Linked DNA regions of Macaca fascicularis. The protein of the gene in region 2 interacts with the protein of the main gene of each other region in a biochemical or structural test. Links are inferred from orthologs where the notes say so. Each region holds a gene or a part of one and is shown on either strand. Other genes may lie near its edges.

What was found.
Region 1: the proteins of CRP (region 2) and complement factor H-related protein 4 form a complex in vitro, tested with the Homo sapiens proteins (4 studies listed by IntAct, with this or other methods). The link is inferred for Macaca fascicularis from reciprocal best matches to the Homo sapiens genes CRP and CFHR4.
Region 3: the proteins of CRP (region 2) and CFHR3 form a complex in vitro, tested with the Homo sapiens proteins (2 studies listed by IntAct, with this or other methods). The link is inferred for Macaca fascicularis from reciprocal best matches to the Homo sapiens genes CRP and CFHR3.

What each region holds. Positions count from the first base shown.
Region 1 is NC_088375.1:54,604,477-54,608,135, reverse strand, and holds part of complement factor H-related protein 4, read right to left. Parts: intron 1,671-3,659; coding exon 1,488-1,670; exon of another isoform or gene 940-1,487; intron 1-939.
Region 2 is NC_088375.1:101,346,773-101,350,531, reverse strand, and holds CRP (C-reactive protein), read right to left. Parts: upstream 2,700-3,759; 5' UTR 2,596-2,699; coding exon 2,535-2,595; intron 2,277-2,534; coding exon 1,663-2,276; 3' UTR 436-1,662; downstream 1-435. UniProt on the Homo sapiens protein: Displays several functions associated with host defense: it promotes agglutination, bacterial capsular swelling, phagocytosis and complement fixation through its calcium-dependent binding to phosphorylcholine.
Region 3 is NC_088375.1:54,511,516-54,515,274, reverse strand, and holds the start of CFHR3 (complement factor H-related protein 3), read right to left. Parts: upstream 2,314-3,759; 5' UTR 2,241-2,313; coding exon 2,183-2,240; intron 1-2,182. UniProt on the Homo sapiens protein: Might be involved in complement regulation.

The DNA.
Region 1 (3,659 bases), about 47 Mb from region 2:
TTGCTAATAAATTGAGTACTATTAAAAAATAGTCTGACAATCAGTGCTTTCTTTGTGCTGTAACAGTTAATTAGAAGAGAAAAATATATTTCCCTATATATATCCTTCTCATCATTTAAATCCTATGAAAAACATATTAACAATATTTAGTTAGACCTATTTTTATTTGAGAACATCTCATTGGCTGTTATTACAGTCTACCTTTATCATTATAAAGTATTATTTTAAAGACGATAAAATTTTGTGAATTTAAAAGTTAATATACATATTTATGTACACAATTTACTGACAGTATTGGCGTATAGGTTGTATTAAAATTATATTCATTGGATAATAGGTTCTACAAAAATATATAAAGCATCTTATCTTTTATTTTACAAGTCTTATAGTTGATCATTTATCAAAGCTGAGTCAAATTAGATTGAAGTATACAGCTTTGTCTTTTGCAGAACCCATGATAAGCATAGAAATTGAAAACAGTATTCTAGAAATGTAGGAATTACATTTTATAGCTCCCAAACCTCAGAGTAACTATGAGATAATCACTTTCTAATTGTATCCTTTCTTTTTCTCACTTAGCTTAATACTTTTGAGATTCATCCATGCACTATTATGTATCAGTAGTCCCTTCCATTTCATCTCATGGCTAAAAATAGTTGAATTGTACACTTGAAAATGAAGTGGATTTTGCACTATGTAAATTATATATCAATATGTGTGTTAAAAATAAATTAAATAATTTATCTTTAAAAATCTTTGTGAATGTCTACAGAGAAAAGACAAAAAAGATCAACTTTTGCCACTGCAAGATTTCCACGGTTCATTATGCAATCTCTTTAATAATAAGTAGTTACAAGTTGGGAATGTTTTAGAGAACTTTAGTTGTAAGGAATCCATTGCCAAGTATGAGGTTTGTAAACATTCAGCCCACCCACTTACCCTTTTCCTTTACTTGTTTTCTCTGTACTAGATTACCAGCTGGAAATAATTTTCTGAGTTGGTTCTCCTCAGTTGCATCATTGATACAAATTATTAAGGTCTCATTCTCCTGATGCTAGCAGAAACTCAGAATTAAGCACTCATCCCTTCCCCGACATGTACATCTTTGCTGAGTGTGAGCAAGGAATACAATACAAGCAGTTGATAATTTTGAAATACGAAGAAAGGGAAAAGAACAAAGTTTTTATTGACAACTGTTACATTTTGCTGAGAGTCCCGTGCAGCTGTCTAACTAGTCTGTACCTGATGGGATTGCTTTTACGCAAAGGCAAATTGAATTGAAAGAGATGGAATGATCATCTTCCCAAGTAGCCATTACTCTAAAAGGCAAAAAAGGCTTAGTCTGGCACAGAATGTTAAATGGTATTAGAAGTGTTTATATCTCTTTACTCCTAAAAGTGTTTTCTATATTTTTAAGTAAAACACTATCATCTCAAAGAGAGGAATGAAGTTGACAGAAACTGGATGGGAATATGTAAATCACTTACTAATGCAAACTGGTTGTGCTGACCATCCATTTTGCAAACATGTAATTGATCCTGAAGAATTTCCATCTGCTGTTGCATATCCTGGTTTACATTTATATTGCATCTCTTTATTTAAAATATAAATAGAAGAAGATTCAGAAATAAATCCATTTTCAACTTCTATATCTGATTTTGAGCATGTTCCTAATAGAAAAAGTAGAGAAAAAAAAATTTGTTGAATACTTCTTTTATAGAAGGGAACGAGTAAAAACATGGAAATATGGTAAAACAATGAAACATTTGTTAAGGAATTGAAAATAGCAAAACTGGAAGTTTCCTAGACATCCATGTTCCTAAAATAAACCATGAATTTTGAAAGAAAATAGTGAAAATACAGGGAAAGGCGGAATAAAAGCAAGGAATCCTTGAGACTGTCAACAGAGCTCTGGCAGGCCTTGCGGAGGAATGCAGATCTAGCAGACTCTCAATTCCCTATGACTTTTTGGAAGAGTTTCTGGCTACTTTGCAATAACCTGAATCTTTTTGATGCTATTAAGAGATCTTAGACCTCATATAGTCATATGCCATTTCTCAGGCAAATATACAGTACACACTGCTACCACAGACAAGGAAATAAATTTGCAAATCTTTAGTCTCCAGGAAATTAAAATGATTGTCATCTTAAGTGGGTCTTAAACCCATATAGACATGGTGTTTGAGAGAAATGTGGAAATGTAAGCAGGAAAAAAACAAACAAACAAGATAGCAAAAATAAGTTGTAATATATTAGTAATGTATAGGTTCTTCACATATTATTGTATATGTTCTATATGTTACTAATGTGTTTATGCATAAGGTAGTAATTATTTTAGTAATGTATATGTTCTAAGATATTAGTAATGTATATGTTCCTTTTTAGTTAGTAATTAAAAAAATGTAAATGGACTAATTTTACTATCTGAAAGAAAAATAAATCATGTTAAAGATGATAAATATTTATAATATAGCATTTGTCATAATCATGAGTTTTCTGATCTATTCTTGCCTACTTTTCTATTAATCTCCTCTAAACTCTAAACTACAGTGTTCAGTTTCTCTTGTAAATAATTGTATTTCATATCTATAAAGCACTTGACACACAACAATATTTATTAAGTGCATTAATGATAGAGTTGGTGCCTACGGTATGAGAAAAAGGGACTTTTCTTTCAGAGACTTAGGCTATTGTTGAGTACAATTGCTCCTACAAAGGTGTAAGAAGATTTCTATTGTCTTCCATGTCAATTATATCATAATTATCATACGGTTTCTATAATGGAATGTTTTGTAAATTGCAAGCGATGCACACAAACAACTTTCAGAGACCCCTTTACCTAAAAAGTGAAAGTCAGCTATAACAGAAGATGAGTCTTAATTTAAAGCAACAGAGCACTAACTATAACAATAGATGTCATATAATTGTGAGAGATGTACAAGTGACCTTTGGGCAAGCCTTATATTTATTGTTTAATTAATACTATAATTTCATAATCTACTTAAATCAATGCATTTAGCATGATTTCAATATAAATACTGAAGCAGTGTTACTTTCATCTATATTTTATTTATTTTGTGTTATTCAAAATTTATATTTCTATTACTTGACTATTAAGTGACAGAATCCACTCATTATCCAGAAATTATAAATGTATTCATACATATTTGGAACTGAAAACTAGCTAGGCTTCTATCTAACAATAAAAAAGGCCTATATTCAGCTTGAGAATTGATACACAAAATTTTCCCGTTAAAGGTCTAGAATCTTAGACAGTTATGGACATACTGGGATCTCAAACAAGTGGACTAACTGCCACGAATGCATCTGGGAGGAGGAGACCAATCATCCTCTGTACATGAAACTGTGGTCTGCACATTTGGAAGACCGTAGTCAGGACAGACTTCAACTTTTACAGATTGACCCTGTCAATATGTTCCTTCATATTTTGTGTTATATCCATTCTCCAAATAACTGAGAATACATTGTCCTAAAGACCATAAAATGATTAAAAAGTAAATTAGAAACATTAATTTAATCAAAATAGTATATTAAAATAATTTTAGAATATTTAAATAATACTGCATCAATACCCCAAAATAATGTATAACTGAAGGACAACTAAAGCTACTACTAAATGTTTGTACAAAAAAGTCAGT
Region 2 (3,759 bases):
TTCTACTGGTCACTTAGTACTGAAAGACCGTACTGGAGGAAGGACACTTCTGGAGGAAGACAGCCGCTGTCATCTTTGAGTGGTCTGTTTCTACAAAGAACTGGAACCAACTGGGGCAAGTGCATTCTAGTCACTGAACCTGGCATCAGATTCATGGATCTCAATGATCTTTAGTTTTTGCTCCCAAATTGGAATAATGATAGAATGAGAGTATTAAAACCCCCACAACTGGCCACACATGAATGGCCAGCTGTCTCAAAAGAGGGATGTGCTTGTCAGAGGGAATCCCTTCAGGGGACTTTCGGGGACAGGTTGAAGTGCCATGGATATGTTGTGTAATGGGCAGTGTAAAGTTACAGGGACTTGGTTTCAAAGGCCCTTAGAGAAGTTAGTCACAACCTCTACAGCAACCATCAGAAAACAGCTTGGACTTGCTCAAGTAAACACGGGCTTTATTGGCTTATGGACCTGGGCAGTCCAGGTATAGATCTGGTTCTGGAAAAGGCTGATTCAGAGACTCCATGTGGTCAAGGCTCTGTTGTTTGTCAATCCCTTGGCTCCTCCACTTCCAGTTTGGCTTCTGTCTTCAGTCTCTCTCCATGTGGCAAACAAGATGGCTACTGGTGGTCCCAGGTTCATATCTTCTCAGCTTGGAAATCCAGCAGCAAGAAGATATCTCACTCCCAAAGGCCATAACTCAATCCTTGGAAAGGCTATAATTGGTCCTGCTGGGAACACATAACTATCCAACTATCCTCCAGATAGGGAGCTGGGGAGATGGGAGATGGGCTACTCTGACAGGACACCCTGTGGTTCATGTCCACTCTTGTGGCCTGGGTATATTGGGAATGAGGGGTTAAAGAAGGAATTCACAGCCCCACAAGGTTCATGTGCAAAAGGGGAGGAGTTTCCCAGAAGAGCCATAAAATTAAGAAAGCACTGCGAGCAAACAAAAACTATTGTTATGTAAGTTCTTGGCAGTAACAACATATTTATACCTAGTGCCTCATTTTGCTCTGGAAAAAAAAGCAGACCTTCTCTGCTAGGGCAATTCTAACGGCCTTTCCAGTGTGCTTTGAGAAAAATAGAGGAACTGTGCAGTATTGCTGGGCTTCCCATTTCAGGAGACCTGGGTCCAGCAGTTCCATGGCATGATCATGAGCACTCTGGACCCAAACCAGAGACCTGGCCAATGTCCTGATTCTGAGACTGAAGAGCCCTGTGAATGTGGGCAATGCCCTCCTGCTTTCTGGGGGTCCTGGGCGGGGAATTAAATAGAAGACCAGCACTTCCTTCTCAGTTCTTGCCTTGTGACATTTTTTAAAACATCATTTCCCCTTTCTGGGTGTCAGTGTTTTCATCTATGTGAGGGTAAGACATTATCTCCAAGATCTGTCCAACTTAAAAAGAAATCAAAATGAAAACAAAACACCTCAAATTCTGATTCTTTTGGACAAAGTTTCCCAGCATAGTTAACGAGCTCCCAGACCAGACACTTTGCCTCCATTCTCAGGTGCTGAGGAGGGTGGAGCAGGCCTGCAATGCATACAGGGGAACAAAGGCCCAGAGACAACCACATGGGAACCAGGCAGTGTGAAAAACCGGGAGGTACTAGAGACAGAGACGTGGGGCGCGTGCGGTGTAAAAAACCGGGAGGTACCATCAGGACCACAGCTGGGGTTTGATGAACACTTCACCTTGCACTTCATACTTCAGTGCCCGCCAGTACAGGACACTAGGACTGAAGGTCCCGCCACGATAGACGGTGCTAATCTCATCTGGTGACAGCACAAAGTCCCACATGTTCACATTTCCAATGTCTCCCACCAGGGACTGCTGTGTTTCAAAGCTCCCACCGAAGGAATCCTGCTCCTGCCCCAAGATGATGCTTGCATCTTCCCCCACAGTGTATCCCCTCTTCAGACTCTTCCTTGCCCTGGGCTTTCCATCCACCCAGAACTCCACGATCCCCGAGGCGGACTCCCAGCTTGTACAAATGTGTACTGGAGCTACTGTGACTTCAGGAACTTCGAATAATATTTCAGACCCACCCACTGTAAAACTGTATCCTATATCCTTAGACCAAAATATGAGAATCTCATTATTTTGTCTCTTGGTGGCATAAGAGAAAATACTGTACCCACGGGTTGAGGACAGTTCTGTGTAGAAGTGGAGGCACACAGTGAAGGCTTTGAGAGGCTTCGTTAACCGTGCTTTGAGGGTTACATAGGAATTATCCGACTCTTTGGGAAACACAAAAGCCTTCATCGACATGTCTGTGAGCCAGAAAAACAAGCAAATATGAGAGATTTCTCAGATCACAAAGATCTATCCCCTCACTTACGTATAGAGTTTAAAGTTGAGAAACAGACTGACCCCTTCTGCAGTTACACACACACATCACACACACACACACACACACACACACACACACGCACATCATGATGGGTGCTCCACTGTTCTGTTCATACAGTCTTAGACCCCATCCCCATACCTCAGATCAAATCTCTCCCATAGCCTGGGGTGGCCCTTACCTGTCTGGCCAAAAGCATGAGAGAGGCTGGTCAAGACCAAGAAACACAACAGCTTCTCCATGGTCACGCCCTGCTGCCAGTGATACAAGGACCTGAATTCACTCCTTTGGAAAAGATGTATTCGGCTGAAAGTTCAGGGGCTAGAAGTCCTAGATCTCTTGCCTCAGAGCTATCCCCTCCTGCCTGGATTTATATCCAAAGCAGTAAGGGAGTTTGTGCCACTTTGTAAATAATTTTCCATCATTGCCTGTTGGGGCAAGTGTCAGAGCTTCGGGAAGAGGAGAAGCAAAATTATTCCAGAACAGAGAAATCAATGTGGGTTATTTATTACAAACTCCTATGACTACTGAATTACCAATTCTTTGTGACAGGAAAAATGAAGAAATCTCCCAGGGTTCCACTTTGGCTATCTATCCTGAGAAAATAATGGGAAATAGTAACATATTAAATGAATGGTCATCTGGGTGCACATGGTAGCTGCCTCTCCAACACCCACTTCAGCCCAAGTCATAGAGTTTGACGAAGGAAAGCTGACAGCTTCTGGATATGGATATTTTCACTAACCTCTTTCAGAATTTGCTTATTTACAGATTGGGAAATGAGGAAAACAAATATGCCCTTCCCTGAGTCATGGACACATTTTCTTAGCCAACTGATTATACTTATTAAGAGCTCTCTAAACATCTTGGCACTAAATGACAGCCCTGACAGTAAAAGTCCTGTGAAATGTGTGCTGATGACAGACATAGCATTATGTCAGAGTTTCTTCCAACATTTTTCTCTGAACATGTAAAGCTTCAGGCAGGAGTCAGGATAATCTGATTCTACTCTTTCCTCTGTCCACAAGATTCAAGTAATCTCTCCACACTGTCTGTCCATCTTACTACAGTTCCCTACTTAACTCACTCTTCAAAATGACTATTATACTCCTTCTCCTTGCTCCTCAAGTCCCCAAAATCTCATTCATTCTTTTACTCAGCTGATGAACTCACCTTTCATTGAGAAGTTAGAAGCAATCAGAAAAGAACCACCATATCCTTTGTAGCAGAGGTTTCTAGCCATTCCCTCACATCCATTCTCTACTTCTCATAAGATAAGAATAACATTTTCAGTTGGGCGCTTGGTCATCCCCTCAAACACCAAATTTCCCAGCCCCCACTGTAGATTGCAGTGATGATGTGATTAAATTAAGGTCAATGAGATATGAACAGAATAGGGACAATCT
Region 3 (3,759 bases), about 47 Mb from region 2:
AATATCAACTACCATTAAAAAAAATTCTTAGCATAAGCAACTCACAAAGTATATCATTCATTAATCATATGAAAAATATCTGTTGATTTGATTAACTAGATTCTGATTATAGATGAATACAGATAATATGTAAACATAAAGTGTTCAACAAGACAAAAATCAGCAAGGACAATACACCCAAGATATTATTACCAAATTCTGATGAATACGCTCTAAAATCTGTGTTGGGGGTGTGTGTGTGTGTGTATATATATATATATCCTTGAGTAAAAAGTAGAAAGTTATTTTAATTATTAATATTGTTTTAATAAATTGTGTAAATACCATTCTATTCATCCGCTAGAGCTACCATAATAAAGTACACAGATTTCATAGAAATTTATTTTCTCACAGTTCTGGAGGCTACTAGTTTGAGATATAGCTGTCAACGGGGTTGAATTCTTCTGAGACCTCTTCCTTTGTCTTGTAAATGGTTGTATTCTCTCTATGCCTGCTTGATCTTTCTCTATATGGTGTGTCCTTATTTTCTCTTCTTATATAGACACCAGTTATATTGGAGTAGGGCCCACCTGAATCATTGACCTTTAACTTAGTTACCTCTTTAAGCACTCCTTCTCCAAATGCACTCACATTCTCAGGTATTGAGAGTTTGGACTTTAACAAATGAATTTTGGAGGGATGCAGTTGAGCCAATGCTACTGAATACATAAAGATATTTCTCTCTACCCAACACGTTATTCCACTAAATGAGTTACTTTCTCCTTTGAGAAATACAGGTGAGACCCAAAGTTACAAGACAGTTTGCTCTAGTTTACTCTTACAAAGAGTTCATTGGAGGAAACAAGTTTTCAACTGGAGTATCAGATAAGAAAGAGTTTGTCATCATTCTTTTCTATAGTGCTTTTAAGAAAGTAAGTAAGAAAGTATAGCGCATATGCTTCTCTAATTCCAGTCATTTCAAACTAGTGCTATTTTTCTCCTTTGCATTCTACTTTAATCTATTTAATCTTTATTTGAAAAAATATACCTGTAACAGTTCAGTTAAAAAAGGAAATAACCGGAGTAATTCCTTTTTTTTTTTCCATTTTGGCATAGATCAAGTTTGTTTTGCACAACAAATAAAACTAGCAAATCATATGATAGTTAATATCATAAAACTAAAAACTCTTTCCCTAGAATCAAATAAGGTGGCATAGCTTTGACAGGAGAGGATGAGGGAAAAGATTCTCTCATAAATTGATAATGGGATTTCCAGTATTACCCACTGTTACATTTGTTGAAATATTATAAAATCTTGAATAATAACAAAGTTTGTATTCTTCATTAATAGCCACACACCATTGATTGGTCACGATTTTTGACCCATATGGTTCAGCTGCTAATGTTATGATATAGTTCTTTAACATGGAAAGCCTGCATTCAAAAAGATAGTTAATATAGAAAATATATGACTATCAAGGAGAAAAGAAATCAGTGAACAATGACATAAAGCTCTGAAAAGTATTTTCTGTGTATTTACTTATTGAACATTTGCTAGTGGACTCAGAAAAGCCAATCAAAACATACTGTCATTCCAATGTAAGTTTATAATCTACTTTTTATGTCATTCCGATATAAGTTTATATTCAACATATATATATGTTGCTAATTTTGTTGAAACGGTAGGTTGATGATAATGTTAATTAGTTTTAGCAGCTTTCTTAAGATATAATAGAAATACATTAAACTGCATAATTTAAAATGTATTATTTGATTTTTAATATATAAATGTATGAAAATCACCATATGTAAGATTATGAAAATATCAATCACTCCCAATGTTCCCCTTGTACTATGGATAAGAAAATTCTGAACGTCTTAAGTTTAGAATCTGTCTAATGACATGTTTCCTAATAACGTTTCATGAGTACATTCTCATATCTCCTTAATCAATATTAAATGCCTTTTACACTGCAGAACTTAGAAAACAAATAAAATATTATTCATTTTTTCTTTAAGTTAAAATGAGATAATTTTTTATAACATTAGTTTCTGTTATACTCCCACAAAATATGCCACTTCCACTAGCATAGTGAATTAATCCTCTTTGATTCATTAAAAAACAGATAGATATACAAAGCTAGATATTACCTGAAGTTACATTTAAGAGGGAAGCTGAGTGTTTAGATCGCTTTTAACTTACCTTGTCCATTAGCACAGGAAACCCACAAGGTGAGAATGACATTGATTAGTAACAACATGTTAGATATTCTCAGTAATATGTATTCATACAAAGGTCTTGATTGCACTATTTGGGGTTTGAAATCTTTCCTTGCTAGTTACCAAGTGTGATTCTGAATTTAAGTGCACTACCACAAAGCTAGGCCTTTAAGGTCACTTAGTAAATATCAAAGTTCAGAGAGTTTTGCAAAATCCTTCAATAATTCCAGTTAGTGGTTTCACAATCATCTGTGGAATTGATTTCCTGATGTGTAGCTTATCAGTTGATGTGTACAATTTTATTTAGGGACAGTAATGGACTGAATCCAAAAGTAATATAAAATATTAATTTATTTTATTTCTTATTTTTTGAGTAAAGAGAGTATTAATAAAGGGAACGAAAGGCTTCTGCAACTGTTGGAAGAACTGAGGGAACTAAGGTCAAAAATGCTATTTCCGGAAAATTCTGATATTCAAGAATCTTAGTGATGCCCTCACTAATTATCCATGGTGCTGCAGTGGATGTTTCTCAGGAAAACTTCCAGAATCAAGAAAAGCTATTGTTGGTGATCTCAGCTGCTATGAGCAGCTGCTACCAGATAATACTTTGTCTTTCTCTTCTTCCAAATCTTCTTTAAGTACATCTCATGGGGGAATCTAAGGTAGAAGCAAGCTATGGAGAAAGGAACTTCGGAAACTATAGTTTCAAACTTATGGTACGCAATGCAGAAGAAAATGAAAATAGGAACTGGGTTGATGTCACATTGAAAATAAACATCTGGCACACTAATCTCTTTCTGAAAATCCTGCTGTTGAGTTTGGCAAGCTGTTTTTTTTTTTTTTTTTTTTCCTCACAAATGGTCAAAATACAATTTCTTATCCAACATACTCTTCTTACAATGAGAACACTAATTTTAAAATTAAACATTGGAAAATAGGTGAGTGTCTTCCACATACAGAGGAATCACTAATGAATAACTCTCAGGGTCCACATGTCACTAAAATTTTCTGTTGTCCTTTGCTTTGCAGTACCTAACTTAATTATTTCAGGATGTTTGAAAACAAACCAGTGTGTCTGGACCACATTCCACTGTCTGTATTTTTATGTGTTTAGAGAAACAGACTGATTTTCAGAACTCACAATAGATCATACTGAGTACAAAAGTTTCAGTATATTCTTGATTTTAAATATTTTTAAAGTTGTGTTTTAGGGTATCTTTATTTTAAGGTACAATACATTCATACATATATATAATATATATTTTACATATATATATATATTATATATATATACAGACAGTGGAATGTGGTCCAGACACACTGGTTTGTTTTCAAACATCCTGAAATAATTAAGTTAGGTACTGCAAAGCAAAGGACAACAGAAAATTTTAGTGACATGTGGACCCTGAGAGTTATTCATTAGTGATTCCTCTGTATGTGGAAGATACTCACCTATTTTCCAATATATATATTATATATATATAAAAATTTCTGCTTTGTTGGAAGAACATAACTCAAGTCCACATATGTTCTCTCACTGACTTCTTCTGTTTATTCTTT